Linked DNA regions of Oryza sativa Japonica Group. The protein of the gene in region 1 binds, or shares a complex with, the protein of each later gene. Links are inferred from orthologs where the notes say so. Each region holds a gene or a part of one and is shown in the gene's direction. Other genes may lie near its edges. The genes, in order: general transcription and DNA repair factor IIH subunit TFB2, general transcription and DNA repair factor IIH subunit TFB4 and general transcription factor IIH subunit 2.

Evidence for each region.
Region 2: general transcription and DNA repair factor IIH subunit TFB2 (region 1) and general transcription and DNA repair factor IIH subunit TFB4 share a complex: the UniProt entries of both Arabidopsis thaliana proteins name them as parts of the 7-subunit TFIIH core complex. The link is inferred for Oryza sativa Japonica Group from reciprocal best matches to the Arabidopsis thaliana genes AT4G17020 and AT1G18340.
Region 3: general transcription and DNA repair factor IIH subunit TFB2 (region 1) and general transcription factor IIH subunit 2 share a complex: the UniProt entries of both Arabidopsis thaliana proteins name them as parts of the 7-subunit TFIIH core complex. The link is inferred for Oryza sativa Japonica Group from reciprocal best matches to the Arabidopsis thaliana genes AT4G17020 and GTF2H2.

Annotation. Positions count from the first base shown.
Region 1 is NC_089038.1:35,240,799-35,251,233, forward strand, and holds general transcription and DNA repair factor IIH subunit TFB2, read left to right. Parts: upstream 1-4,250; 5' UTR 4,251-4,579; coding exon 4,580-4,692; intron 4,693-4,784; coding exon 4,785-4,952; intron 4,953-5,552; exon of another isoform or gene 5,553-5,555; coding exon of another isoform or gene 5,556-5,569; coding exon 5,570-5,638; intron 5,639-6,127; coding exon 6,128-6,221; intron 6,222-6,372; coding exon 6,373-6,473; intron 6,474-6,963; coding exon 6,964-7,009; intron 7,010-7,094; coding exon 7,095-7,154; intron 7,155-7,251; coding exon 7,252-7,320; intron 7,321-7,792; coding exon 7,793-7,876; intron 7,877-7,947; coding exon 7,948-8,031; intron 8,032-8,180; coding exon 8,181-8,266; intron 8,267-8,861; coding exon 8,862-8,952; intron 8,953-9,031; coding exon 9,032-9,112; intron 9,113-9,193; coding exon 9,194-9,268; intron 9,269-9,394; coding exon 9,395-9,529; 3' UTR 9,530-9,697; downstream 9,698-10,435. Other genes in the region: tetraspanin-19, read right to left, coding at 1-147. UniProt on the Arabidopsis thaliana protein: Component of the general transcription and DNA repair factor IIH (TFIIH) core complex, which is involved in general and transcription-coupled nucleotide excision repair (NER) of damaged DNA and, when complexed to CAK, in RNA transcription by RNA polymerase II.
Region 2 is NC_089036.1:1,352,160-1,362,692, reverse strand, and holds general transcription and DNA repair factor IIH subunit TFB4, read left to right. Parts: upstream 1-4,323; 5' UTR 4,324-4,477; coding exon 4,478-4,502; intron 4,503-4,598; coding exon 4,599-4,687; intron 4,688-4,970; coding exon 4,971-5,241; intron 5,242-5,323; coding exon 5,324-5,370; intron 5,371-5,640; coding exon 5,641-5,678; intron 5,679-5,754; coding exon 5,755-5,800; intron 5,801-6,035; coding exon 6,036-6,089; intron 6,090-6,211; coding exon 6,212-6,280; intron 6,281-7,141; coding exon 7,142-7,218; intron 7,219-7,529; coding exon 7,530-7,625; intron 7,626-7,739; coding exon 7,740-7,797; 3' UTR 7,798-7,854; intron 7,855-8,108; exon of another isoform or gene 8,109-8,204; 3' UTR 8,205-8,533; downstream 8,534-10,533. Other genes in the region: protein MAIN-LIKE 1-like, read right to left, coding at 1-240, 313-461; light-harvesting complex-like protein 3 isotype 2, chloroplastic, read right to left, coding at 8,913-9,160, 9,299-9,436. UniProt on the Arabidopsis thaliana protein: Component of the general transcription and DNA repair factor IIH (TFIIH) core complex, which is involved in general and transcription-coupled nucleotide excision repair (NER) of damaged DNA and, when complexed to CAK, in RNA transcription by RNA polymerase II.
Region 3 is NC_089038.1:25,934,179-25,944,533, reverse strand, and holds general transcription factor IIH subunit 2, read left to right. Parts: upstream 1-4,841; 5' UTR 4,842-4,932; coding exon 4,933-5,262; intron 5,263-6,685; coding exon 6,686-7,147; intron 7,148-7,227; coding exon 7,228-7,606; intron 7,607-8,035; coding exon 8,036-8,163; 3' UTR 8,164-8,529; downstream 8,530-10,355. UniProt on the Arabidopsis thaliana protein: Component of the general transcription and DNA repair factor IIH (TFIIH) core complex, which is involved in general and transcription-coupled nucleotide excision repair (NER) of damaged DNA and, when complexed to CAK, in RNA transcription by RNA polymerase II.

The DNA of each region.
Region 1 (10,435 bases):
GCGGTAGTGGAGGTCGGCGACGTCCCTGTACCATGCGCGGAGCATCCAGAGCGCGTAGAGGATGACGGCCATCCCGGCGAGCCCCAGCACGGAGTTCACCGCCTTGAGCCCCGTCTGCACGCAGCTCCGCACCACCCTCCCCGCCATGGCCGCGCCCCACCCGCGTCTCTCACCACCAACTCCGGCTACTCCTCAGCTCGGTCTGCACCCCCACCCCACCTGTGCAGCTGTTCTCCGCGCAGCCTCGCGTGGGAGCAAAGAATGGGAATGGGAGACCGCTGCTGCTGCTGCTGATGGCGGAGGTTGACGGCGGCGGTGGCGTGGAATATTGGGGAAGAGGAGGGGACGTGTGGAGGTGGGAGGGAAAGAGGAGGCGATGGATGGATGGGTCGCTGGAGAAATGGATGTGGGAATTTTGGGTTGGATTGTTTCGGCACGGATGTGACATGAGTTAATTGCTGCCTGCTTCATTTATTTTGTTTTTATTTTATATATTACTTATTATTGTTTTTCCGTGAAAGATTAAATGATTGTTGCTTCTACTCTATTGTATTTTGTACTACCGTATATACTTGTGGAAATACGGGTTTGCCGTGACGCTGCTGTACCTTGAAAAGAAGTGTACTTGTAGTTTTTTTTCTTAGTCAAACTTGGTTAAGATGATTAACTAAATTTATAGAAAAATTTAGTAATATCAAAAATAACAAATTAGTTTAATAAAATCCAGCATTGGATGTCTGTTTTATGTTAAAAAATGCTACTATATTCATTTATAAACTTAATTAAATTTAAAGAAGTTTGGCTAGAGAAAAAAAATAAACAACTTATAATATGAAACACCTAGACATAGCAAAATGACAAATCTCTCGGCTCTTCGCAAGACGAACAAGAGGACTAAGTAAGTACACCCATAATGAGAAAGCATTAGCGTATGATCAATTGCGTTTCAATAATTACATACTTCAAATTATATTTATTTGATATATTTTAGAGGAAATTCTTATATAGAAAGTTTTCACATAGAAATGTACTATTTAACAATTTAAAAGGCATATCTTAATTATTAAAAATGAAGGGAGCTAATTATTACATAGTACTACGTCATAATGTTTGATGGGGAGTGATATGTTTTGTTATGATGATATACGTAATGATGTGCTATAAATCCTATGAGATGTGGAGACCGGAGAACAAGTTGGGGGAGAAATTACTAGCTACTGTTACGTGGTAATCAAATAAGTCGTGTGTAGAGTGTTTGATTAAGAAAAGTTAGCGCGTAAATTAGGGAAGTAGTACTTGTGTGGTGTGGAGTCACGGCCATGCGGACAATGAGTACGGAGTAGGTTTTAATCCTGGCACCTGTAGTTAGCATATGCACCTGGGTGAATGTGATTTGTGATTTTGCACCTGGGTTAATAATGTTCATTACGCGCTAGCTTGTGTGTAACGCTACGATGATTTATGAAATTGTGTTGAGAAAAAGAAAAACATTATCGTTCATCAACCGACTGATCTCCCCAGTCACATGGAAAATGAATTAGGTTTGGAGTTTTGTGACTATTGGATCGTAGGTTTTTTTATTTGATTTTATTAGGAAATAGTCAGTTCATGTAAAATTTCGTGTAAAAACCATCCTTTCCAAAGTAGAAAAAAGAAAAAAAAAACAAATTCTATATTACTCCTTGTGGTAGCATGTCTAAAAAAAATTACAAAGCAAAATAGGCGTAACTAAAATGATTATCCTGTGATAGAACTAGCTCACCTGAGTTTAAATTCTAAACTTGACATTATTACTTGTATTTGTGGCTAATTATTTTTTCGGTGGTAGACGATATTCGTCAACAACAAGCTTCTGATGACAGTCTAGGATTTGAGAAAGATGTATTTGTAAAACCCAAAGATCGAACTACTCCTATATGCTAAAATCTGGCTGCCAACCCTAGTTTCTTAGTATAATCTTACTATTAATTCTTTAAACAGGGGTAGTGCTTGGTATCGGTATTAATTGCGTGACAGTCGGCAAGTATCAGTTTCATTTTCGTATTGACTTTTGATCTGACCATTTCCAGCTTCAACTTGTCCGCCGGATTTTTTTTTCATTGGTTCGTAGTACTTGGTAGTAGGAAGTAGTACAGGAACACCATTTCAAAATTCCAACTACTACTTGTCTACTTAAACCACACATGAATTTCCTTTTAGCAAAAATTCAAAACCACATGTATTGATGTATAAATTTGGAGTTTGACGTCGCAGCAGACGAGTGCTCGGCGAAAGTCATGTAACGCGCACCTTTGGTTTTGTGTGGCGAGGAAGATTTTAACACGGAAAGCGATTTGACACGTACGTGTACGTCAACATTGGTGATGTCCAGACTCTAGACTTGTAAATTGTCATGTTGGTGCCAGTATACCTGTGAAATGATTTCATTTTTCTAGTACATTTTATTTCTTTCACATGGAAAAAAAATTGGACGGCTAATTGACGGATTGATCCTGGAAAGTACGAGTACGGTACTGAAATTGAAAAAAACGAGCAAATATTATACACGTTCGGGGGTTCTTTTCATCAGATTTTAGTTAGGATAGGAAATTGTAGTTAGGAGTATGTTAAGCACGTTCATGGGTAGTTTTAAAATAAAAGCACATTCATGGGAGCGTGAGCGTGCTGTGTAGTTATGCATGAGTCTTTCGTCTAAACGAAAAAAAACAAGAAAAAAAATATAAATAATTATCCATGCATGGACAACTTTGAAACACAAACTTGCCAATGGGCCAAAATGGGCTAGGGTTGGGTAGCCCAATCCTTTCATTCAAGAGGCCTGTAGCCCAATCTAACATAAAAGGGAATAAGTTCACTTCGTGACCCTCAACTGTGATCGAAATCTAATCCATAACCCTAAACCACAAAACCGGATATTTCGACCCCCAAACTCCTAAAACTGGTGCAATTTAACTCCCTCGGCGGTTTTGGAGGGCGGTTTTGCTGACGTGGCGCCTACGTGACGATATTGACCGAGTCTTCGTTCCACGTGACACTTAGGTGGCATTAGAATTAAAAATATGTGTGGAACCCATTAATCATTCACAGAAAAAGAAATGTGGGCCAACTGACATGTGGGGCCCACATGTTAGTCCTCTTCCTTCTTCCTCCTCCCTCTCTCCCTTCTCTCTCTTTCTCTCCCCTTCTTCCCCAAGAAGCTAAAGCGGCAGCGCCGGGGACCTGCAGCATCCCTCGGCTCGTGCTCCCGCGGTACGACGCCGCGTTGGCCGCGCCCACCGGCAACGTCTGGTTGTAGCAGTCGCCGCCGCCAGATGAATCCATCGATCCAGACAAATCACACACAAACAATCTCACAAACGAATCCATCAATCGTTCACGCCATGTATGACTATGTGTTTGCTAGCTAGCAGCTTATAGGATCTGGATCTTGTCGTCGGTCATCCACTAGCGGTGGGAGTTGAAGACGAGGACGTCGGCGCCCTTCCAGAAGGTGGAGTGCTTGTTCATGGGGGCACTGCGGATGAGGCGGTCGTCGAGGACAGCGGCACCGTCAGAGTTGGACTCGGCGAGCATGGGCGCCCAGTATAACTCGATGGTGGCGTCGTAGTCCTTGGCCCTGAAGATGTTGAGCGAGTCCACCGTCTCGAAGGATCTGGACCCGCCGGCGCCGGGAGCGCCGCGGTGGAGGAGGCAGAGCAGCGAGGCATACAGCCCACAGAGCAGCGAGTCCCGAACTTCCAATCTTGCCGCCGCCGCGTCAGCTTCCACCGCCGCCGCCGCCGCCGCCGCTCGCCGCCGCTCCAGCCCGTGCTCCCCGCGGCCGGCCGAAGGGGAGAGAAGAGAAAGGGAAAGAAAGAGAGAAGGGAGGAAGAGCGGAGGAAGAAGAAGAGAGAGGATGGCATGTGGGCCCCACATGGCAGTGGGTCCCACACTATATATTTTTTGAATGACAAATGGGCCCCACACTTTTTTTTTTATTTCTAGTGCCACTTAAGCGCCACATCAACGCCACATGGAAAGAAGACCGAGTCAATGCTGCTACGTAGGCGCCACGTTAGCAAAACCGCCGAGGGAGTCAAATTGCTCCGGTTTTAAGAGTTTTGGGGTCGAAATATCCGGTTTTGTGGTTTATGGTCGTGGATTAGATTTCGATCACAGTTGAGGGTCACGAAGTGAACTTATCCCACATAAAAGAGCCGACGGCCCAATTCCACTGCAAATTTAAATGGGCCAGGATCCGGATTCTATCCAAGCCCAACTCACACCCACGCTGCTCGGCTCGACACACATCGCCGCCTCGCCGCCTCCCTCCCTCCTCCGGTCGCCGTCGCCGCCGGCGAGCTCTCCTCCTCCTCCTCCGGTACACAGCTCAGCTCTAGAGAAACCTCTTCCCCTGTTCCCCCCTCTCCTCTCGTCGAAGCCTCCTCCGCTATCTCCCCGGTAGGGCTCCCGCCGACGCTCTCTCCTCGTCGCCGGATATTCCCATCCTATCCCCTCCTCGCTCTTGCTCCCTCTACGTGTGTGGCACGGCGGCGCACCGGATCGGCGCTGGGAGCTAACCCCCCACCCCCCGGCGAAGATGCCGCAGGTAATGGTGGTCGCGCGGAACTTCATGGACATGGTGGCCGCGCTGCCGGCCGCCAAGCTCGACATGCTCTACGACTCCGCCTTCATCTGCGAGGCCGTGCTCAGGTGCCCACTCCGCGCCGGCCTTGCCCTTGGCTGCGGCGATGCGTTTCCGTGCTGTATTTCATCGCGAGTGTTTTCGCCACTTCGTTGTGCAGGTCGCTCCCGCCGCTCGCGAAGAAGTACGCGCTGCAGATGCTGTACGTGTCGGCGCCGGTGGCCGCTGCGGCCATGGAGGAGTGGGTGCTCGACGAGTACGCCGCCAAGCACAGGGTCGCCATCGATAGGCTGCTCCAACTGAGGGTATTTGTCGAGGTGCGCGATCGGTAAGGCCTCATCCATCTCCACCAGCGCTGGGTGCTTCAAGTGCGCCGCAGACTTGCAACTTCCTCTATAGATCAGAAGTCGATGAACCAACTGTATAATTTCAATCCAGAATGTCAGATTTCTGGTGCTAATTTTGCCTTAGTGGTTTGCCAGCGCTGTCTTTGGCATGCCGGGGGGCCTGATATGTTATCATATATGTCAACTTACTGAAATTTTGGTGTAACTGTTTGGCCCTAAGGATGCTATGCAACTAGTAATGCTTTTATTTATTGTAAAAAGGAAACAGCAATATATTTGGCATGCCACATTTGGTCTGCAAAGTGCAAACTCTTAAGGTGAAATATGCAACAGCATTAAGAATTATGAATCAATGTTGGCATGAGAAGAAACCATCATGATGATTATACCCTTGGACGTGAACAAGTTTTATTCAGCTCTAGTTGGGGTAGTCGATTATTTTTAGCTAATTATACTGCTGGAACATCAATTTCATGTGTACTTTGTCACATGTTCTGTTTCTTGCATGTGCAGAGGCATAGCTAATATGAATCTTATAGCTTACTCAGTTTATGAATTACTTTAATTTTACTACATAGTAGACTATGTTTTTCTACAGAAGAAAGGAGGTGAGCTACAAGATGAACCAGAAGTTCCAGGGCAACATGCAAAAGTATTTGGTTGATGGGTAAGTTTTAGTAACTACTGAGCTACTTTTACTGAAAGCCACATACTTTTCTCATATTTTGAGCTAATTGCCTTTTCCCCGTCGAAACTTTATGATAGTGTAAGCATGTGCTTTATTTCCTTATATATATTATGTACAACTCTTAATATTGTAGAGTAATCCTTACTATATACTCCGGCATACGTTGCATGTATAGAAAAATTTCTCCTGCACACATTACATGTAGAAAATGAAAAAGCCACAATGTGGTAGCAATAGGGTGGAAATAGTTCACAAATTTACCGATGATTGCACTGAAGAACAGTAAAATCAAATTGACTAATTTGTATAAAAATAAATTACTGTATGTTACATGTTTCATGTTATTCAGTTATTTTTCCTGTGTGGGCAGCCTGAGCTAATAATTAAAGCTTTATTGCCATGTATTTTGTTCTGCGTGTTGTAGCATATCAAACTAGTTGACGACATTACAGTTTTATTTTTCTGCAGTGGAAGTTTACCAAGGGAACCTATACCATCGAGTGTCACTGCAAGGTTGCCTACATTGGCAGAATTAGAGTCTTTTGCTCTTGAGCAGTGGGAGGTCAGGATGACAAAAGCTTATGTTTGCATGTATATTTTATTTTAGGGAAACACTTTCTATCTTTTTTTGCTCATCAGATCGTACTGTTTGAATGCTACCAATGTTCACTCCCCTAGTAAAGGAACTCATTCTTTTCTCTATGGGAAAATAGTGCTTCTTGCTGCAATTGATCAACTCATCTCAAGTCGAGAGAGGGACAAGTTTCAGCTCATCCATGATGAGAACTTTTCAGCGAGGTCTTCTGAGTTCAAGGTCCATCTTATTTCCTCCCTTGCTTTTGGCAGTGAGTTATGCATAAAATACGGACAATCAAATTTTGTAACAACAACAAAGAATATGCAGATTGCTGTAGCTCTTTCTTTTGTTAGTACAATTAGATGATAAATCCAATGGCTGTAGCTACATAGATATACACTAAGAAGAACTAGCAACTACTATACCCAAGATGGTGTGGGCTGACAGCAGATGGTCATTGGTTAATTGGTTTGGTTTATCTGTGTTCAGTTTACCTGTAAGTGAAATGGGGCTGATTGGTCTCTTAGTAATCCTAATAATCCATCTTTTAGCAGGTTGCTTTTTTTATTTGGATAGTTCAGATTTGCACCACATTTCTGGAATTTTAAAAGCTACTAGAGTTTTTTTGCCCTGCTATATATTCTCTAGCTTTATTGTATATGCTTTCCTCATTGCATATTCAAACAACAACTGAACGATAGAGTTCCTGATCTGATATATTCTGCAGAGATGGTGAAGCTCCAAGATTAACTGAGAACGGGTTCCAGTTTCTGGTGTGTCATTGGCTATCAGTTGATCCAATTATCTAACAGACTGCAGACTTCTATATTTGTTTCTCACTCTTTTCTATTTAACCAGCTGATGGAGACAAATGCTCAACTTTGGTACATCATGAGAGAATACATCTCATCAGCAGAGGTATCGGTTGCTTGCTCTTTCTAGAGCTTTTGATGTTACATTGTTGATTTATTTGTTGTATTTCCTTTGTGCTGATTGTTTTATTACTGTTGAATAGGAACGTGGTGTGGACCCCACGGAGTTGATATCATTTCTATTGGAACTTAGTTTTCATACATTAGGAGAGGTAAGTTAACCACTTTTAAAAGACTGTGGTGATGCTTCTTTTTTTTTCAAAAATCGTTTTAAAAAGTGACCAGCTCCAGTTTTTCTTTTACAGAAATTAAAATATAATTTCCCTCAATAATAGTAGGTTATATTGATATAAGAAATAAACACGGCCACATTTTACGCAGATTATAGTTTATGAGAGGATTGGGTAAATTGTAGTGGTATATGAAACGGAGCATCTCAAAGATTTTCTATTGGTTTCTGATCTATCTAACAGAATAGGGACATCAATCTAACATGCCTGCTTAATAATGCTTACTAGTTCAGACAGTACCAGAGATTTAGTGCTTAAAAAGAGGTTATCAGTCTGTAGATTAATGTTATTAACTAAGCATTATCTTTCATCTGTTGTGGAGTCCAAGCTTTGTGGCCTGGTTCATCTGTTGCAAATTCGCTTCAACATGCTGTTTAACTTATTCATGCTTCAGGCTTATAGCTTGAATACTCTGACCGATGTCCAAAGAAATGCTATTAGGGATCTGGCGGAGTTGGGACTGGTCAAACTTCAGCAGGTAAAACTTTGATTTAGTCTTTTCCCTAGTCAACTTGATGAATACAAATGTCAAGAGTTAAGCCATGGCAGGGTCGAAAGGACAGCTGGTTCATACCTACAAAACTGGCTACAAATCTCTCAGCAAGCTTGTCAGATTCATCGTCTAACAAAGAGGTTTCAGAACATTTTATATCCTTGCTATTACAGTTATTCATGACGTCCAAATCTTTCATAACCTCAATCTACTCGTCACCTAAGCAACAACAAATGAAGATGAAAATACTTTCTGTTAATAATTACATTGTATGATGTTGGTGCTGTAGGGTTTTGTAGTTGTGGAGACAAATTTCCGGATGTATGCGTACTCAACTTCCAGATTACATTGTGAAATTCTGCGCCTTTTTTCAAGGTACGTGTGGTGCTAGATGATTGGCATAACTTAGCTCAACTATGTACTGGTTTTTTAACTACTGAATTACTGATCCATAGCTTCTGTTGCATCCTTGAACGACTTTCCTCTATTTATTATTAACATTTTGCCATATGTTTGGCATGCAAAAGAGCGACGGCAGGGAGCTAAGGGCTCTATACCCTTCATCACATTTTCTTTAGTTAACCAGCGTAACTCTGCCAATTGTCATGCGAGTATATGCCATAATCTTGATTTTTGGCTATGCTCTAGTAGAATGGTGATTGGTCACTGCTGTTTCAGTGACTGATACCGTTTATCTTGGTTGAGTAGATGCCTTCATCTTGACTGAATTGACTCAGGAATGCCAACTGTTTCACTGGAATCCAGTACTAAATCAAGGTAGTAGGAAACACAATACAGTGAAGATGACTGTATTAATAACTGTGTTGTAAGTAATATTGCTTATTAATTTTACAGGACACTTGCTTAAGGTTTTATTAAAATGACAGTAATAGTGGCGACTGTAGATTTTACCTTATATTACTGTCATCCTCCATTCTTCATTGAATGTTCAATAAGGATATTTTTGCAGAGTGGAGTATCAACTTCCAAACCTAATTGTGGGATCTATTACAAAAGAAAGTCTTTATGGTGCTTTTGAGAATGGGATTACCGCTGAACAGGTATCACTTGGAGTATGAATTTCTGCATGATCCATTATATAGATACTCAGAGTCATTCTTGTTTTGTGTTGTTTTTCAGATAATTTCATTCCTTCAGCAGAATGCTCATCCTCGTGTTGCTGACAAGATACCTGCAGTCCCAGAGAACGTTACAGATCAGGTACAACTGAACAAGGCAATGTTTTCATCCATGGCCAACCGTATTTGCCAAAGTAATTGAATTGGTAATTCCTCCATGCAGATTAGGTTGTGGGAAACGGATCGTAACAGGGTTGATATGACCCTATCGCATTTATATGAAGATTTTCCAAGCAAGGTAAAGCCCAGCATATTTAACTTGGAAATAGTACTGGGACAATATTGAGTTGCTTATACCATGTTGGTGTGTGCTTTTCATATTAGTGTAAACGCTAACATATTTATTCTACTGTTGCTTGTGCAGGATATGTTTGATCAATGCTGTGATTATGCAAGAGATCATGGGTGCTTGCTGTGGGAGGATGCGAAGAAGATGAGATTAATTGTACGAGTGGAGTTCCATTCAGAAATGCGTGAGTTCCTCCGGAGGCTAAGATAAATCAACTATAGTTTGCATAATTTATTCAATCTATGTACTCCTATATTCCTGCACAGTAAGAACTTTATCAATGACTGTTGTGCACCAATTTGGCCCATTGTCACACATGAATATATCCACTGGCTGCATCATGTTAAGGAGTTGGAACTCGCTGAACTTTTGAGTTAACTGCTGTTACCCTGTTTATTATTACGGAGTGCTCCATCCGTCCAGTCCAAATTAGTTGTTTTAGGATAGATCACATTTTATTCTAGATATTTTTCTTTACTTATTCTAGATGATTACTCCGTGCAAGAGAGGAGCGATTAGAGGGAGAGACGAGCGATCAGAGAGGAGGGGGAGGGTGTGTGTCAGGTGTCAGGTTTTCACCTGTGTCAATCCGTGTGAGAGAGGAGACGGGTTATCATTAACTAGGAGGAATCATTTCTTGTTACAAGGTGTCAGAGAGAGAGAGAGAGAGAGAGAGAGAGCTAGAGAGAGATAACTAGGAGGAATCATTTCTTGTTACAAGAGGTGTCAGAGAGAGAGAGGAGACGGCTAAACCACGCAAGTAACCAGCTCGAGTATATAAACGCGGGTTACATAAGGAGTCTCACGCCTCTCACCCCACCCCACCCACTCCTCCGACGAGAGTAGACGAGCAGAGCAAAAGCCGGCCGCCGGGCATGGGGAAGAAGAAGAAGAACAAGAACAAGAAGAACAAGAAGTCGTCGGCTCCTCAGGCGCGCGGCCGCGGCAGCAACTCCGACCGCCGCTCCTTCACGCGCGGAATGCTGCAGTCCATCAACAACATGACGGTCATGCGCGCCACGCCTCGCGACCCCTTCGTCGTCGCTACTGTGACGGGTCGTTGCGACGGCGACCCCATCGACGTCGCCAACCCCGACATCGCCGCCGCCGCCGCCG
Region 2 (10,533 bases), on another chromosome or scaffold:
ACACCGTCCACGGGACCAACTGGTGCTCCCGCCAGCGGTAGCCCGAGCAGGTACGACACGTCCTGCAGTGTCGGAGCCATCTCCCCACAGGGAAGGTGGAACGTGTGCGTCTCAGGTCTCCAGCGGTCTACAAGAGCGGCAAGGAGTGACCGGTCTGCATCCCACCGCTTCGCTGGGTCACGGTCGTCCGCCGCCGCCTCAACAAGCCTACAAAGTGGTAGAAGGCCTGCCGCACGCAACCTGTATAGAGCAAACTTCAAACATAAGTACAACACAAAGCAAAGTTGAGTTGAAATGTGAACATACGCATACCAAGGAACGTGACGGGGGTCGACACGCAACCACTCGCGCGACGTGCGTGGACGGAAGGTGCCGAGCTGTGCACCCTCGACTGCTGACAGGAACGAGCGGTGGTTCCTGTCAATCCCACGGTTCAACAGCGCCGGTGTGTCGTACGCCATACCTGCATCAAATAGGTTGATCAGAAACATATAAATAATTAGTTCAACATAAGTAATAAATGTTCATAAGCGAATTACTAACACATATTAAACAAGAGTACAAACAAACAAAAGTGTTTAGTCCGAACACTCATCACGATAACATTATAATACAACACCGAATAGTTCGCAATACTACTAGTACAACAATAGTCGGAGGTACTCATTACAACAACATTGAATTGAAATTACACGATAGAAGTATTTAGTCCGAACACTCATTACATCACAACAGCATTTTATTTCCTAAATCGAAAGCATTGTTACACCATGGAATCGCCTGCTGCGCGACGACGCCTTGGCCTTGCGCGCCTGCTTGTTGTTCCTTCACCAGGTGGTCGCCTACCATCACTTGCCTGTCCAGATGGACTAGCATCTGCGCCGCTTGGAACTTCTGCATTCTTCGGGCATTTCTTGTAAGTATGGCCGCGCAGATCACACTTGCTGCAGCGTAAAGTCCTCCCACCTGCTTCTGACTCATCCATATCATTTCTGATGCGTCTAGTTTGGCGTCGACCCTTTTTCACCCTTAACTTAGATGGATCTGGAATATAAAAAACTTGGGCACTCAGCGTTGTGTAAGATCCTGAGATCCCGAACCCATATATCTCCTCACTCCATGTATGAAAGATTGCTTCTTTCCTGAAATAATTTGAGACGTACACATTGGGAGATATGCCACAATCACCGGCAGCAGCAAGAACGTGTGAGCAAGGAAGGTGATGAAGCTTCGGCTTCATACAACTGCAGGTACATCCACCATCCGCCTTCAAGACACATTCCTGCACGGCTTGCTTGCGATAGATACCACGCCTGCTCCTATCAACACACATTATTTCATACCGATGCACTTGTGTGCCTTGAGCAACAACTCGATGTCTCCGTGCCTTTTTGATTTTATCTTCCATGTACTTTGTCACTACGTTGCCAAACACTATGTTGTTATCGGCCATGGACGGACCAATTTTCTTGTATCGATCCCTAAAGTACGCTTGCGTGCCGTGAAGGATGAATTCAACAATAGCAACCAATGGAAGTACCCGAACTCCTCGCATTACCCAGTTGTACACCTCTGCCAAATTGGTTGTCATTATGCCATACCGAGATCCATCGGTGTCGAACAATAGAGACCACTTCTCCTTAGGCTCATTCTCAATCCACTGAGTGAAATTTCTGATGGACGACCTTGACCTCCTTCTCATTGTTGGTGGGTCATCATGTAATGCACCAAGAGGTATGGGAGGCTCGTCACCTTCAACTAGTGGTCTGCGAGATTGCTCATCTGTTTGCTTCGTTGTCAACTCATCCAACTTGTCCCACAACTCATTAAATTTCTTCTCTTGGTTCTGTGCACAGAGCCTCTTAAAGAGCTCCATAAGATGCTTGTTCTTGAATTGCTTGTAGAAATTTGCACCCATGTGACGCATGCACCACCGACTCTGAACATCAGGCCACTTAGCTGGAAGTCCCTTCTCATCCCAACCGTTCTGCAAGTAGTCAATAGCCCGCAACATACCCTCATGACGATCATGTATAAGGCAAACGTTGGGCCTCATACGCACCACTGCAATGTGCACTCTCTCTAGGAACCAGTACCAGCTTTCAGTGTTCTCACTCTCTACAAATGCAAAAGCCATAGGTAGAACCTGGTTGTTCCCATCACACCCAATTGCTGTCAATATCTGACCTCGGTATTTACCTGTCATAAAAGTTCCATCTATGCATAGAACAGGTCGACAATGCACAAAAGCATTGATGCAAGCACCCAATGAGAAAAAGGCTCTTTGCAGCATACTCTTTGTTCGATCATCAACCGATGTAAATGTATGTAGGTCATAGTACGTATTATTATTCCTCTGGGCAATGGTGGCTAACAAACGAGGCAAATTATCATAAGAAGCTTCAAATGTGCCATACCTCATCTCAATGATCTTTTGTTTGGCTCTCCAGGCCTTTGCATAGCTTATGGTGTACTTGAATTTGTTCTCGATGTGCCTAATAATTGATTTTGGTTCAAAGCCAATGTTACCAACAACACTGCTGTACATCTCACTTGCCACAAAAGCTGAAGTGATGTTTCGGTGATACTTCTCCACCCCTTGTAAGTAGCACTTGTGCTCGGTCACAATGCTAACTTTCCAATAATCATTCCATTTACCCTTATATGCATGGACACGCCACGGACAATCTTCCTTCATGCACCTCACTTCATACACATAATTTGTTGACTTGACCACCCTAAACTCTCTCTGCAAGGAAACTGCCCAATGCTTCACCGCCTCCTTCATCTCATCCTTATGAGCATACCTTGCACCGTCAATTACCTCGTTCTCCTTATACTCCCAGGGTACATGATCACCCTCTGATATAACAAGTCCAGAGAAGTCCTCATTTGCCCAATCAGTGGCCATTACATCACCTTCCTCATCGGATGATGCGTCGTCGTCCGCTTCCTCATTATCCGAATCTTCCCTCTCCATTTCATCAACAATTATACCGACTCTCTCCCCCTCATCCGCCATGCCCATAGCCTGCTCCTCCCTTGGTTGATTTTCCTCATTTTGCATCGATGGTCCAACAACATCCCCTGCATTGATAGGACCCTCTACATCTTCGGTTTGCATTGAAACATTTATATCTTTCTCTTGTACCGACACAAATATAACGAGGGGCCATGACCGTTCAAAAGCCATTTCCACATACCGTCTCCAAGCATCAGTGCTGTCCATCGGCATTAGTTCCCAAAAATAACCTTCTGTTGCACGACTCACTACAACTGACACTGACATTGTGTAGACTTCTTGGTCTATTCTAAATCCTCTCAACAACCAACTATAAATTGACTGAAATGTTCTCTCCGCAGGCCTATCGATGCCCTTAGATGTCATTACAAAATCTGACAGATCAACACCATCTGGACCAAATCTAATATTTCCTTTACCATGAACTATCTGAAATGTGACCTTACTTGACATTGTGCCTGATGAAAACAATAACTGCGTTAACCTCGCATTTCTGTACTACGCCCTAAGTTACATTCTCTACAATATTGTTCTCTAAATTTCTAAAATTACGTTACATTCTCCAGATCAAACTAAACTACATCTTACAATTAACACTACTGTCTATGTCTCAATTCATACTATTATATTCTATGCTCTGGATCTACACATATGTGCTATGTGCTACAGATGTGCTAAAATATATGGAACTAAAACTAAAACGCAACATATATACTCAAACATAACATATTAGTACAAATGCAAAAGATGTATGGGAGCATACCTGTGATGAATTGAGCGAACCAGCAGGGCTTCGCCGCTCCCCTTCTGCTGCCCTCCCCTCTCTCTCTTTCGTTTTTTTTGGATTTTTAGTGAATATAATGAAATTTCACAGAGGAGGGACTGGGCTTTATAGGGGGAGGCAAAAATCGCCCTCCCCCAGGGCGGCAAGGGGGCCGCCTGCAAAATTCCATGCCCCCTCGCCGCCCATTTGCAGGCGCCCCCCCCCCACAGTACAAAATCGCCCTAGCGGAGGGCGGCAAGGGGGCCGCCTGCAAAATTCCATGCCCCCCCTCGCCGCCCATTTGCAGGCGGCCCCCCGCACAGTATAAAATCGCCCTAGCGGAGGGCGGCAAGGGGGCCGCCTGCAAATTTCGTTGACGGCCGTCGCCCGAGAGCGAACGGCCGTCTGCCACGTCATTTTCGCCGCCCTCTGAGAGGGCGGTAGGCGACTACTTCCGTCAATTTTCAAAATGGAAAATTATTTTTGTAAAACTTTTAATAAAAAAATTATAAATAAAAAAAATTCGTCGTCTCTTGCCGCCCCCAAGCGCAGCCGCAACTCCGCCGAGTTCGCCGCCTCCGCCTCCGCCTCCCGACGGCGGCAAGGCAACCGCTCGCGCCGCCGCCGCCTCGGCCCAACCAGCGCCTCCGTTCGCGCGTGTCCGGCCCTGCCGCGACGGCGGTGAGACTGCCATGGCCTCCTCCAAGCTCTACTCCGGTAAGCGGCGCCCGACCGTCTCCGTTTTCTGATCCCTTTGCGTCTCGCTAATCTTCCCCCCTTTTCTCTTGCCTCGTCTCCACCGCGCCTGCGCAGATGACGTCAGCCTCGCCGTCGTCGTCGTCGACACCAACCCCTTGTTCTGGGCCACCGCCGCCCTCCCCTTCGCCGACTTCTTCGCCCATGTACGCCGCGACCTCCCAAACCCTATTTCCCTTCTCGTCCCCCGCTTCCCCTCTCGATTTCTAGTTTTTGATTCACATCTATATCATGGGGATTAACCACGGAAACACGATCAGTATCTAGTTGCATTCACGCTGATCTAGCTAGTTTGATTTTATTCTGACTCCTCCAGAGAGGATCAATCTCTAGTTGCTCGCTGATCTAGTTAGTTTGATTTTGACTCTGAATTCTCCAGAGAGGAGAGGATTTACACTTAATACTGATGCAATTCCGGGGTGTATGTAGCTGATCCACTACGTGAACTCGCTCTTGCTTCTGAACCACCTCAACCATGTGGTCGTCATCGCCGCGGGGCTTAGCTCTTGCACCTACATCTTCGACTCGAGCGATGCTAGTGCCTCTGGTGCTGCAGACGTCGCGGCCACCTTCGCAAAGGCGAGCCGCAAGATGGATGAGTTCATTGCAGAAGACGCCCGTGCCACTAGCAGCAATGGTTCCGTTGCTGATGGCAATGCAGCCTCTCTTCTCTCAGGCGCACTGTCCCTTGCTCTGTGCTGTATCCTATGACTGGTACTGATTTCTTATTGTTAGTGCATTTTCCATTTGTGCTTGTATTTCTTAACATGGAGGATGCTTAGATATACAGAGGGTTTTTCGGTCTGGTACTCGACATCCACAACCTCGGGTGAGTATACACTCTGTGTGTGTTCTAAGTTACCTTTTGTTCTGATTCCTGTTGATATGTTGACCTATGAGAACAACATAGAAGGGAGCATATCAGTTAGCATAAATGTTTACAATGCGCATGCTGTATGGACTAAAAAAACCTGATAGGCATCTGACCCATCACTAATGATATAATTATTTAATTTTCTTTGTTTTCTTGAATTTTTCTACTCAATATCCTCACAACTTATTCTAGTGGCATCATGTATTATGCTAACACGAAATACAGATTTTATGCCTGCAGGGTTCTCCAGATGGACCTGAACAGTACGCACATTCATCGATTTGATTGTGTAGTATATATTTTCTGGAACATGTTTTAACTCAATGAGATGCTGCGCAGATATGTAGCGGTCATGAACTCAATATTTTCTGCTCAACGTTCCATGGTATTGCATGAACTGTCACTATTCCGTACATTTGGGTTCATTGTTCAATTCATTTTATTGATACTCTTGATGTCACCTCACCATTTCACAACTGTAGTGGTTTTAGTGAGTCCCAACTGCAAGTAGCACTACCTCTAGACATGTCTATATGACTATATACATCACCAGTTTCATTGCTTAAAACATTCACTAACAACTTTGGTCCTTATTTTTTTTTTCTATCAAAAAAATTTAGGTCCCAATCGATTCATGCATAGTAGGAACCCAAGACTCTGCTTTCTTGCAACAGGTAATGTTCTTCAGTGCCTTCTTGGTCTTTCTTTCCATTTATAACTTCTTTTACATGTATGCCCCCATAGAGCTGTCTATTCCTTGCTGAATGCTGATCATATACTGGCCTTTCATTTGCAGGCTTCATATATAACAGGTGGAGTTTATTTGAAACCCCAAGAACTAAATGGTCTATTTCAATACCTTGCTGTAAGTCATTCTGGCACTTCTGTAGCAACACACATATTTTCTCATGCAACCATGGTTACATCTTTATAACTGCATGATGCATTTATATAAAGCCTGTGGCCATCTTTTCTGTGTAATAATGAAAAATTAAGAAGGCAACTAACCTCCAGCACATGAATCTGATGTAACTCTTTAAAAGAAAAATGCCAGATCAGCCCATTTTCATTTTGTGAAAAAAAATAATATCAACTTTCATCTAAGGTTGTCTAGGCTCTTCTGTTTTCCTGCCTTTGCTTGAATGTAGAATGTACTAGTAATGTTTGGGAACTCATGCATCTCTAGTGAGTGTGGCTTGTTTAAAGTGTGCACTCAAGCATAATATTTCCTGTATGTCTCAAACTGTCAATCTGGGAAGATCAACACAACTACATCTCTAAACTTTAGTGCCAAATGATTTTGGATGCTACTAGTAGACTACAAAGTTGAATGCCCTCTCAGTGTCTATGTTCATGAGTTCATCTCCTATGTCAAAACTCAATATTTTCTGTCACTAGAGTGGGGCACATAGATACTCCATCTTCCTGGTACTGGTAGTATATCTACCTGTTAATCTAGAATCAGATTCACATATATATGTACAATACACTAATGAACAACAATGGAATCATCAGATTATGGCGTGATAGACTGTGCTGTTTACTTCTGACCCAAATCTATTGCTTCAATATCAGCTTACGTTGACCTGTTTTTGGAATATATATATTAGTTCCAAAGTTGCTCTGTTTTGTGTTTGTCTTTATTCTATCTGAGTAGGAATATTTCTATTTCAGATAACTTGATTAATTTGCTTGAGCTCAATGACTCATTTCTGCAAATATGCAGGCTGTATTTGCAACTGATTTACACTCAAGAACCTTTCTGCGCCTCCCCAAGACTCTGGGAGTGGATTTCCGTGCTTCGTATGTGTCACTCAGTTTCCTCTATTAAGTTCTCTAGGCATTAGGCATATCTCTGTTTCTTCATCTTCTTGAATGCCTTGTGACATAGCTATGAGATGCTTGTTATAGATCTGAAAACATAGCATAATACCAATGACAATTTCAGAAAAATGTGAGAAACATACAGCTAATTTTTTTTGTGAAGTTCTATCTTACCAAAGGCCTTAGGTCAGGATTAGCAGCTCAGTTTATTTTTGTTTTTAAGTTTCCATTCAGTTTGTCTGATACTGGTGGCCTTTCAACTGCATCTAATTTGCTATATTTCTTTTCAGATGTTTCTGCCATAAGAAGACTATTGACATGGGATATGTTTGTTCAGTTTGTTTATCGATATTCTGCAAGTATCATAAGAAGTGTTCGACCTGTGGGTATGTTATAGTTGCTTTGTGTTTCTATTCTTTTGTCTTTTTCCTGAGAGCTTTAATTTGTTTCAGTAAGAATCAGATTGTTTGCTTGTTTAATTTGATGTGCTCCGTTCACAGGTCAGAATTCAACCGTGTCATGCCCGACTTAAATTCTGTACCTGATCAAAGGCAGTAGTCTACACTACAGATGGCGAAATATCAGACTGCAGACTTCTCTTTATGTTCTCCACAGGTTCGTCTGATGTGTCTCTTAAGAAACTTCGGTGCCACTATCTTCTATAGTTAAAAGATCTCATTTGTAAAATATAGACTACTTCATCTGCATTAGCTGACCCCCAGACATGCATTATGCGTTAATGATGATGACATGCACATACAGTGCACGCCATATCTAGTCTAGTTTCAAATTTTACCTACCTTGTGTTCTTATGTGCGTAGGTTCATGCCCGTGCTTTGTTCCATTCTGAAATGTGGTTCATTTTCCAGGAACATCTATCCTAGCATTTTAGCCTCAATGACATGCACATTTATTTCTTAGATACGATACATGATGCTGGATCAGCCTGTCCCTGATTTTGACAGGTTCAACTGATACAGAATGGGCATTGTGTGCATACTTGAAGCAGCGTCAGTTTAGCAAAAACTAGGCAACTGGGCGTAGCAATTTTGTCAACTGATGAGGGAACTCACGCCCGACTTTTGGAATTAGTTTGCCTGCAATTTGTAAAGTTGGCACATGAACTTGTGATGCACCATTTGCAAATGCTCTTTTTTGCTTACCGAAAACAGGACAACAGGTCAAGCTAGTAGATGGCAAATCATTTTTCTTGTCATGGTGACACAGGTTGCGCTAATGTCTTGATATATTACTTCGAGCTCCAAGAACAATTTTGATTTTTAGTTTCCTATAACGGCTGTGTGCACTGCCGATGGAACTGTGCAGATTTGTTCTGGCGCGATGCGATGTTAAAAATGTTGCTACGTTTTTTTTTCAAACGTAGTCAAACCAAAAGAATTTTGATTTAGAAAAGAGTCAAAGCATTTTATAATATGAAGCGGAGGGAGTAACTAGTACAAGCAATTCTCACAAAGAAAACATTCAACCAAGTAACCCGCAGCAACGTTAACCTCTAGCACAGAAACGAGTTCGTACTTTTTACAAGACGTCATAGGTATTAAGATCATCAAAATGTACTGAGCCTCACTAATAAATGGGTTGAGAAAAGGGCTGCAAAAAGAAGTGATACAATACAACATAGGGAGGATTCAGATTCAGATTCCACTTCAGAGCTATTTCTTGGGCTGAGAAGGGGACTCATCTTGCCAGGTTGCCTGCCATTGCTTGTCGTAGAACGTCGTCTCATCGATGAGCTTCTTCACTGTCTCTATGTCCTCGTTTTTCCTGACCAGCAGCACACCAGCCACAGCAACAAACAGTAGGGTTTTGCAGAAGAAGTTGCCCATCTGGTCGACAAGCCCCACGCCGGTCAAGCTATCAACAAAGTATGCCATGAAGAAGCCAATCATGGCAGCACGGCCTGCAGAGACATAAGAGTGTGATGTTAGAAGTGATGAATTCTTCTTTCCCATGCACGTGGTTTGTTTGCACATGTGGCTTGATGCAAGTAAAAACTTTTGAATTCAGCTTTTGAAAAGGAGAAGGATTCAAGAATGACCATTTAGCTTCTCGGCTTCAGGGAGATGGAAACGCTTCATCCATGCCCACCACGGTATGATTGAAGTATCGAAGACAACGGCCTCGTCAGGGCTAGTTGCCTCTGGACAATCTTCAAGCCATTTCCTTCTCCTGGCCTCTGCAAACAAACAAATATGGCATCAGATGATTGCAACATTTCCAAGGAGTTATGTCAGTCGGCCTCATTAGATAGTAAGGAATCCCATTTTGTTCCATTCACTGCAGCACAATGACAAGTGCCATAAGTTTACACATCATTGGCAGACATCTTGTTTGTACCGATTCATAAATTAAAAAAACACAAGCTACGTACAGAAATGCAAATCAGCTGAGAAAAAAAAAAGATCAGTTTCAGAACATAAATCAATTGGATTTCAGTTCAGTTCAAACTCTAGTTGTGCACACACGACAGATCTCTCTTCCCTATCCAACCTAGCACTCCAGCGCTTCCCATGTCCACCTAGCTTTCGTTTTTTTTTTCTTTTTTGCAAGGGCACTCCCAGCAGCTTGAACTGTAAAAGCAAGTGTACTGTGTCTAGCAGTTTACATCATCTTCTACATACGTTATCAAGCAAATTAATGGTGACACGCTAGAAACTTCATCCTTTTTTTAAGAAACTTCATCTAGATGAGGCTATCCATCTAATCATGCTCCACCGATTATTGAAGTTTTATTTTTATAATTTTGCGGCGCACTGATTATTGAAGTTGTACAGCCATAGAGAACAGGAACCTGAATGGATAGCACTGTAGGTGTTGTTGTCAGCAAGCTGGTTCCTCGCTTCAGCAGATGGAAGGTCACTGTCACTATCACTGAGACTAATGGGAAGTAAGCTCCAAACTCCAATATAAGCACAAACAGATCCAGGGGCCAGAGGGCATAGCAATGGGTTCATCAAAGCACAGTAGCAACCCAGCTAAAAAACCACACTGGAATTGAAGTCGCAGTGCCGAGACGGCACTCCCATCAATCGTATCCACGACAATTCATGCAAACATTCTGAGATTCATCAAGTAAATACCAAATAACTAATGGCTGATAAAGGAGTCCTAATACTGAAGTAGTACTATGCAGTTATGCAATGCTTAGCTACTAGTACTCTAGTAGTAGATTTTATGAATTCCACCGCCATTAGTGTAGTGCTAGCTAATTAATCAGCAGCAGCAGCAAGGCAGCAACAGCAAACTGAAGCATAGAGAGGAATAGGGAGGCAG
Region 3 (10,355 bases), about 9.3 Mb from region 1:
CACACAACTGACAAAGTGGACATGCTACAACAATTTCTACAACAAGAAGCACCATTTATAGAACAAAATGCAGTACACATGTATGTTGATTGCAGTGCTAGGAGTGCAGTAAATTTTTTTACATGGGTGTATTTTTTGCAATGATGGATGTTAATAATTGAGGGATATGATGAGTTAGATGATATAAACAAGGCACAATGAATGAATTGAGGCCATCCTGATGTTGGGTTGCACATGTATTATATTTTATTGGATTTCTCCTTTTATGCACTATGTACAATAGTTGGTCAGAGAGGAAAGGCTAGAGCTAGAAGACTTTTTCACTTTCTTTTTTTCCCTCTAAATATGGGCTGTTAGACAGAGTTTTACTAACTGATAGCAATAACAACACTCCTCTGAAAATAAGAGAGATGTGTTCCTCTGTTTGCTAGATGCTACTGGCCAGCCTAATGGTAATTGATTAATTCCATGCAGCACCATATTTATCTTGTATGTGACAGTTTATAATATACTGCATTGCATTTGTCCACAGTTTGATCATGCAGAGTTATAAAAAAGGTGGCGTGGTGGTCTTGCATAGGTGGGTTTCAAAGTTTCTATATCAGTTTTTCATTGATGTGGTTCAAGTGTTAAATTTCCTTGGGTTTTCTGCTCAGAATTGTAGATTTTCTTTACTGAAAACTGCAAGCGACAAGTTCTGTTCCATTGGTCAATATAATCTTTTTGGTGATATTCTGCAAGATGTTTAGTCAAATCCATGACTATTATATCCAGACTAGAACCAAATTTATACCACAAAATATAGTATTTATTGCTGAGGTCGTAGGGTTTATTTGTAATAAAATGTGTTCTTTTTTATTTTATGTATGTATGACTACCTGCCTTTGTTTAATTTATTTCTCGCATGCTTGTTTTCTATACATATCTAACTTTCATGTAACCTCTGTTTTTTTACCTGTCTTGTTGCCGGCAGCGCGGCAACGGCGCGCGCCACCCCTAGTGTTGATATAAGATGAAGGGAAAGAATCCAAATACTTCCTAAACTTTAGATGGAAGATCGTCTAACACCCTGAGCTTTGAAATCGGACATCCAACCCTCTAAAGTTTGAACTTTGTCATACTATCCACTTGCCCTTAAAATAGTTTTGGATGGTGGTTTTGCACATATCATAAGCTTAAACAAACAACTTTAAATAACTAATATAACATATTTATATATCATCAGTTGTCAGTCATCGATTTATCTTTATACAATCATATCTTACTATTATTGTGTAGGTGTTTGTTTTTCAGTGAGAGCTAATAAGAAGTAAAAAGAAATATTTAAGTCATATTTTTAAGTGTAAGCCATAATCAGAAAGTTTTACACGTCAATTCATTAGAAGATGAAATACTCATACTCTCCTACTAGAATGTTTTTAGAAAATACTCCTATTATAAGTTTTAGGGGGTGTTTAGATCAGGGGTGGTTTTAGCGTGTCACATCGGGTATTATATAGGGTGTCGCATGGAGTGTTCGGACACTAATAAAAAAGCTAATTATATAATCCGTCAGTAAACCACGAGACGAATTTATTAAGCCTAATTAATATATCATTAGTAAATGTTTATTGTAGCACTACATTGTCAAATCATGGAGCAATTAAGCTTAAAAGATTCGTCTCGCGAATTAGTCATAATCTATGTAATTAGTTATTTTTTAGCCTATATTTAATAATACGTACATGTGTTCAAACGTTCGATGTGACAGGGGGAAAGTCCTCGGAAAAAAACACACGGGGCATCAGTTGTACTGTCTGCAATAGGGACGCTCCAACACTGGTGATGAACACATCTTTGAGGACATTGAATTCCTGGACCTGGAGGCTGATGCAGAGCCAAGGTCTGACCTGTGGTTGGCAGATTTGCAGAAACGGTTGCCGAAGGAAGGGAACTTGCAAGAGGAGGAGGGATAGGTTTATGTGTGGAAAATGAGCATGGATAAGCAGCTGAGGACAAAGGCTGGAAGAGTACTGCCAACCATTTATGCTCATTGATACAGTCTGCTTGTACGAATTGAAGTTGCTCTGCAAGTTTCTGAAGAGAGCCAATAGCCCAAGACTACCACACACAAGAGCCAAACGCTGCTCTGAAAATTTCTGAAAGGAGATGACTAGTACAGCTGATTGACATACACAACAGGATGAAGATTAAGATTTTCGTGGCATATTTTTCAAACTGCTAAACGATGCGCTTCGTGCGAAAACTTTCTGTATGAAAGTTGCTATAAAATATCATATTAATCTATTTTTAAAGTTTGTAATAATTAAAACTCAATCAACATACGTTAATATCATCTCGTTTTTGCGTAAAAAAATTAATTTTCATCTTTATCTTTAAGAGAAAAGGAGAAAAGAACATCACCGCATAGTTCCAGGCCTATTATTGCACAGAGGTTGCTGTGCTTCTCAACGATTGCCAGAAGAGATCTTCAGAAAGACCCCAAAGTCTAGAAACTCTTCCAAACATAAGCTAAGGATGTGTTTTTATTTGAGTGTAAAGTTTTTAAAGTATATGAACGCACATTTAAAGTATTAAACGTAGACTAATAACAAAACAAATTACAAATTCCGTATGTAAACTGCGAGACGAATTTATTAAGTCTAATTAATCTGTCATTAGCAAATGTTTGTTATAGCATCACATTGTCAAATCATGGCGTAATTAGGCTTAAAAGATTCGTCTCGCAATTTACATACAAACTGTACAATTGATTTTTTTTCCACATTTAATGTCCTATGCATGTGTCCAAACATTTGATATGATGTTTTTGGCTAAAATTTTTTAGATCTAAACAAGGCCTAAATGATACTTGTGATGGAAAATGCATCAAGTTTATTCACAGATAACAGAGGAACATGCATGAAGATGAAGTGCACATTTCAAGAGGCAGGGAAAATATCAGACTACTTTCATCCTACTGAAGTCAGGGTGTGTTTAGTTCACGTCAAAATTAAAAGTTTGGTTAAAATTGAAATGATGTGACTGAAAAGTTAAAAGTTTATGTGTATAGAAAAGTTTTAATGTGATAAAAAAGTTAAAAGTTTAAAAAAAAGTTTAGAACTAAACTCGGCCTTACCTGATCTTCAGAAAGACCCCGAAGTCTAGAGATGAAAATCTTCTAAACATAAGTCAAGGATCACAATGCGATGAAGAATGCATCAAGTTTATTCACAGATAACAGATTGATGAACATGCATGAAGATGAAGTGCACATTTCAAGAGGCATGGAAAATATCAGACTGTACTTTCATCCTTCTGAAGTTAGCTGATCTGTAGGAAACTAGGAACATCTTAAGGTTTTGATTGGAATTAGGATTAGTCCTAGCTTAGCTGTCATCAGTGGCATTACAACAGAAGCACAGAACAACAACCGTGGAACTGCAGCATTGGAACCTAGTACTGCAAAGTCTGTCGAAGATATTATCAGCGACACCTGTATAACAAAAGCGTGGCACATGAGACATGGATACATTCGCGCATTAGATGCGATGTCGACCAGTCAACCATGTCGATGATATAAACTATAGAGATGAATTTATAGTATAAATACTTACAGATCGCATGAACTTCGTTATTAAAAAAATCGAGGTGGTCAGGTGCCACATTGCCAATGCTGCAATTCCAACTGTCAACATAAAACTATATTTATTTTTATGAAGTGTCTGAAAGTTCAAACATGCACATGTGCAGATGTCTAGTGATTTTATTATTATGCAAAGTACTACAACCTGTATTTCAGTTTATCAAAATTATTCATCAAATTTGCCAACTGAGCTCCCCTTGCGGTAGAACATATCCATCGAAGTTCAAGTTGTAGTCTTAGTATAGGTGCTTTTGCATTTTTTTTCTAGGATTTAATCTGATGAGGTAGTATGCTGGTGCTTGCACTTTCTCGGAGACTTAATCTCCGGAGGCACTGAATGCACATAATATTTGGTGGATAAGTTTATACCCATGTTAAACGAGGCTACTGTTCGAATTTGAGTGTATGTTAGGACTTAGATGCATAAAGTTAGTGTGTGCATATGTCAACTTAACTCGACAAAGGAAATAAGCCTTACATTTGACATAAACCCCTCGTTGGATTACTTTGAGATTCGTTCAAATCCCCCCACGTTAACCCTCTTCCTTTTCTTCTTCCCTCCTCACCGATGCACGACATGCTCGACCTTGACGCCTCTTGTGCTATCACTTGGATGGAAGTGTCATTAATATTGACGGAGCCCTCCCCCCTCTATTCCTTCTCAAGCCAGCAGATGCCCATGATCCGACATTTTCCCCATCTTCGGCTGCTCATAACCACCACCACCGACTACCGCTTCTTAACACAAGCTTGCTTTGCCCCTACCGCGCTCCTTTATCCCAATGGGCGCTGACATCGCCGTTGACGCCTCACTAGCATCCATTGTCCACCACCCCCCTTGGTCCACCACTTCCCATGATCATGCCTCTAAGACCGACGATCTCCTCCCTCTTCCCCAATCCCTACCCTAAATCTAATATGGACCCTAATCCGTCGATTCTAGTTCAGGGTGGCGCCAATGTCGACAAAGAAAAGGAGGTTGCTAAAGCAAGAGGAGAAGAATATAGAGCACAAATCACAAAGCACATCTTTTTTTATCTTAATCACGAAGCACATCTTTTGACCCTAAATCTGCAAGATTTGACGATAACCCCCAAAAAATATTCATAAAATTTTAGATGGGTTTTCAGTTTTTTTTTCAAGTGCAAGCAAGTAAGGCCTCAACCGTCAAGCATGGGAAAGCTAGAAAAGTTAAGGAAAACCCACTCAAAAGCCCAGGAACCCCAAAACCTGGCCCATCTCCCCGGTCCCCGACCTCGCCTCTCCTTCCTCCTCTGCTCCCACTCCGCCTCGCCGCCGCCTCCACCATGTACGGCGTCGGCGGCGGCGGCGGCGGCTTCAACGCGCCCTACACGGCATCGGCCCGGCGGCGCAACCACGAGGACGACGACGACGAGGAGGAGGAGGAGTCCGGCGAGGGGCGCGTCCTCGAGGCCTGGGAGCGCGCGTACGCGGACGACCGGTCATGGGAGGCGCTGCAGGAGGACGAGTCGGGCCTCCTCCGCCCGATCGACACCAAGACCCTCGTCCACGCGCAGTACCGCCGCCGCCTTCTCCTCCGCTCTGCCGCCTCCGCCGCCGCCCGCATCCAGAAGGGCCTCATCCGCTACCTCTACATCGTCATCGATCTCTCCCGGGTTCGTTCCCCCGTGCCTTCTCCTAAGCTTGTCCTCGGGTCAGTCACTCCGTCGAGCACTTGGTGAGTGCGGAGTTTTCCGTGAGCTCGGGTTAGGATCACTGGGGATGGCGGGCAATGCTGATCGTGCTAACCTCTCAGTGTTTGTTAAATGCAACACCTCGTGCCGAGGCTGATCTGGTGGTATTGCCCATGGCCTCAATTTGGTTCGTGTGAAATGTGGACTGGAGGCAGTATTGTTGAATCGGTGATCACTATGTAGTGCTTTTAGCTTGATTTCATATGCTAGCTATTTCAGTGACTAGCTGCGCAATCCTCTCCACTTCCACATCAAGGTTTGATGTTTGAGTTGATGATCTCATCACTCATGTATGATTTGCTAGCTTGTCTTCTTGCTTAGGTGTTCTGCTTTTAGTCCCTGAGAGTGGGTGTTATAATCGGTGCATATCAGGGCAATACTGGAATCTAGCCATTTTTGTTTGCCATTGACCAGGGCCATAACCAGAGATTGAATGGGGGGTTTTCGCCAACCATTGAACGCAATGAAGTTCACAAACTAAAATGAAATTGTATATGGTTTGTATTAAAAATGGTTCTTCTACAATTATAATAGTTTGTTTTGTAAAGGAAAAAAATTCTTGTGCCAAAGGGTCTCCTGAGATCTGTGGTAAATAAAATTCTTTCTATAAATTACTGCACTATGACTCTTATGAGCAAGCTAAAAAGGAAAAGACATATTTCATACCCCATCCCTGTTAGGCTCATGCTAATAGCAATTTTCTCTTGGTTCTGTCCTATCTGAAAACTTCATAGGAATCGGAGGAGCGTGAGGTTTTTCATTATCAAGATTCTGAAGCGGTAAAGCGTTTTGGTTGATCGTCATTTGTTTTATGTCAAAGGAAAGGGGCACCGTACTGCATTACTGCTCCATACCATTTGACATTGTTGGAAAGTGTTTTCTGTTGATTTGAGAACACTACGTATATTTTGTGTATGCATTCATGTGGAAAAAGCCCTTTCTTCCTTTGGGTGATAGGTAGTAAATAAGATCCTCTTTGGCACAGCTCCAGATCTTAGATCCATGGTAGATTTGAAGTTTATAAATTAAATTATAATGGTTTAAAATTCTAAATTTCATTTGAAATGTGCACGAAATAATTTATTTAAATGTTATTAACGTAATCGTAGATCTAGATCCATGGATTTATGGAGCTAGAAATACCTAGCTCCAAGAAATCTTGGAGAGGGCCTATACCATTTATTTTAGCATATGTACATTTTCTTCTCACAAAGTAGGCTGCTCATGATTGTTCTGGTGATGAAGATATTTTTACTGCAAATTGATATGCTGCCCACGACTTCTTTTACTTCTTTGCATTCGGTTGTAATCTCCATTTATCCTGGTTGTATCTTTGATCATGTAGGCAGCTTCAGAGATGGATTATCGACCTAGTCGAATGGCTGTTGTTGCAAAATATGCTGAGGTATTCATAAGGGAATTTTTTGACCAGAATCCCTTGAGTCATGTGGGGATAGTGACAATGAAAGATGGGATTTCCCATCGACTTACAGAGATTGGAGGTAGTCCTGAATCACAGATTAAAGCATTGATGGGGAAGCTTGAGTGTTCTGGTGAACCATCTCTGCAGAATGCTCTAGAGCTTGTCCATGGTTATTTAGACCAGGTTCCTTCATATGGTCACAAGGAAGTATTATTTTTGTACTCGGCCCTGAATACCTGTGATCCTGGAGATATCATGGAGACAATAGCAAAATGCAAGAAATCCAAAATACGATGTTCGGTTATTGGGCTTGCTGCAGAGATTTTTATCTGCAAATATCTGTGTGAAGAGACTGGCGGATCCTACACAGTTGCACTGGATGAGGTCTTAAAATATGCTTTGTGTGTTTACCTTTCCTTATTCAGTTATTGTGAAGATAAATAATGCCTGTTTTATTTTGGCAGTCCCATTTCAAGGAATTGCTTCTGGAACATGCTCCTCCACCACCTGCAATTGCTGAGTATGCTGCAGCTAATTTGATTAAGATGGGTTTTCCGCAGAGAGGAGCAGAGGATCTTATCTCCATCTGCTCTTGTCACAAGAAAATAAAGTCGGGGGCTGAAGGTTACATATGTCCTAGATGCAAAGTCAATGTATGTGAGCTTCCAACAGAATGTCGAACTTGCGGGCTGACACTAGTTAGCTCTCCACATCTGGCAAGGTCCTATCATCATCTCTTCCCTGTACAACCATTTGATGAGGTGTCCTCCGTGCACCCAAATAGACTAGGTCAAAAGGGAGGACAAAAGTGTTACGGCTGCCAGCAAAGCTTTATTAACCCTGGTATGCAGTTCTTTAACACGTCTAACAGTACATGCTACCTTTTCAATGCATTTTCATACAAGGAAAGATATCCTTATTGTGCTACATATGTTGCAGTTGGTAGAAAAAAGAAGAGAAAATACATAATACAAAGCTTACATTTGTTTGTTATTACATGGCATCATGTTCTTCAATTACCAATCCTCATACTTCTCTTACATTTAATGTTTTTCACTGGTTTTTGTGCTAGATTATACTCCCTCTGTCCCATAAAAAACCAACATAGTACTAGATGTGGCATATCCTAGTACTATGAATCTGGACATACCTCTGTTTATATTCGTTGTACTAGAATGTGTTATATACAGTCCTAGGTTCGTTATTTTTTGAGACGGAGGGAGTACTTTGCAATTATCAGGTTTATTAATTATTTATCCAATATCCTTGCAGATAGTCAATCTAGCCTCCATGTTCGCTGTCCAAAATGCAACCAACACTTCTGCCTTGATTGCGATATTTACATCCATGAGAGCTTGCACAATTGCCCAGGTTGCGAGAGTCAGCGTAGTTCTTCATAGGGATGCCATTGTGGTGTTAATCTTTGTCTTTTTAACTCAAGAAGCTACCCGTTGCTGTAAGCTTTCTCGTACACTGACATTGGTAGGCGATGTTGTGAGGTAATCAAACAGTGTACAGATGATATAGTGCCCGGCCTCCATTTTGTTGACGCTTCCTGTTCATTTAGATGGAGTAGCTAGTTAAGCTATTTTGATACAGAGTACTGGTCAAAGAGTTGTTGAAGCCATAGCATTGTTGCTGAGGGGAGGTGTTAGAAATGTACAATGCGACTGAAAAGTGAAAACTTGTAACTCTTGCCGTTTTTCTGAGGCAAAGATGTATTCTTTCAGTGTCATAGTCATGCCCTGACATGCCATTTACGAGCAGAGGCTGTTCCTTTCTTTTTTTTTCCCCCTTCCTCTCCTGATATGCCAATATGCTGGATATCGACGGCTCGACGCACGCACGCACCCGGCGTTTTCCGTTGCTGGTTGCTGACTGTAGAATCGTCAAGGTAAGCAGTTGCCTCGTGCAATTAACTGCACAATTTCAAAGCAGGCGGAGACGCAGAACGAAACGGCAAAACGCTGGAGAGAGCACGATGTTGCTGACCCAAGAGGCTGATGGCTTACGTTTTTTTGCTGCCTCGCAATTCGCTTCTGATGGGCGGAGTCAACACAGATGCTAACTCTGGGCTTTTTCGTTGTTCCCTTTCAGCTTTCCGGTGACGAGCAGTGGCGATCATCATGCATAATTACATATACGCAGCATATCCCTGGTTCCCTACACTCTGATGAAAGTGTGCTTCCTGTGGCTATCATGTCGACTTTGCTAAAGCGAATGGATGACAGGCAGCGGTGCCAGTGCTCCTTTTCACCAGTTGCACGGCCAAGTTGTGGGCACGACGAACTGCAGGCTGCTGCACCGTCCTGTGCGTTTTCAACTGTAGATCACTCGAGTCCACTTGAAAGAAACACAGGTGAGACAGCACGACGGCAACCGATCGACCACGGCCTTTTCCGAGCACTGCACAGTGTGCACACTCTATGGCGCTAAGCCCTTTTCGTGCCCTATGCTGCCTATACACAGTCACTTGCAACTTCCTTTCCTTCAACAGTACGGACGCCTCGCTCATATAAACACATATACGCACATCATATTTTTATAAGAGTAAATTTTACAAAACTACATGTTTTATGGTTCAAGTTGCAGAAAACCACACATATTTTGACACTTGGCATTTAAGTACATATATTTTGGTAGTTTAGTTTCACAAAACCACACTATCGATGAATGGATTCACACATGAGATGACGTGGTTGTTTTATCTAGATGATGACGTGGCATCCTATTAATTTCATGGGATGGCTAGTAATAAGATGCCATGTTCTCGTCCTAGTTGAAACAGTCACATCATCTCGCGGGTGAATTCATTCATTGATAGTGCGGTTTTGTGATATCACACTACCAAAATATATATACTTAAGTGCCAAGTGTCAAAATGTTTATGGTTTTCTACAACTTAAACTACAAGACGTGTAGTTTTATAAAATTTACTCTTTTTATAAACATCTCTAAAGATTACATCGGTATATATTTAATTTAAGATTAACAAAAGTTATCATAGACATATCTCTCTATCATATTTCAAAGTTACCATAGACATATATGGATGTCATGTGTCGATATATATAGTATTATCTACCACTAAAAGAATTAACTAGCTATAAATATTAATAACCGTGTTAAGTTTATAATTTAAATCCGGATCGACAAACTCAAACCACAAGGTCGAACTGAGTTCGCCGCTTGCAACTTTCTGACGATGTGGTCCGGCACCGGCTGGGCATCGCATCGAGCTCGTGCAATGATACTGACCCCATGATGGGATTTGCTTGCTTTGGCTTGGAGAGACAACGACATGATTGCCATCATGCTAGTTGCTCCTGAGCTGCAGCCTCTGTACTATGGACACCAAACATTTTTATTACTCGTATCTCTGAACCAAGCAAACATTCAGAACCCAGAAAAAGGCAGTGGTGAATTTCCTTGCATCAAATGGCTGAAAAGTTCGCATCAAAGTTTGGTGGAAAAATATCAGCTCCAAAAGGTGTGGTTTACCGGGACAAAGCCCTTTACGCCGTGAGTTTACCAAGCCCGGATTTGCCGGATTCCCTCTCTAGCAGGAAAGTTCATTGCTGCTTTACGGCAG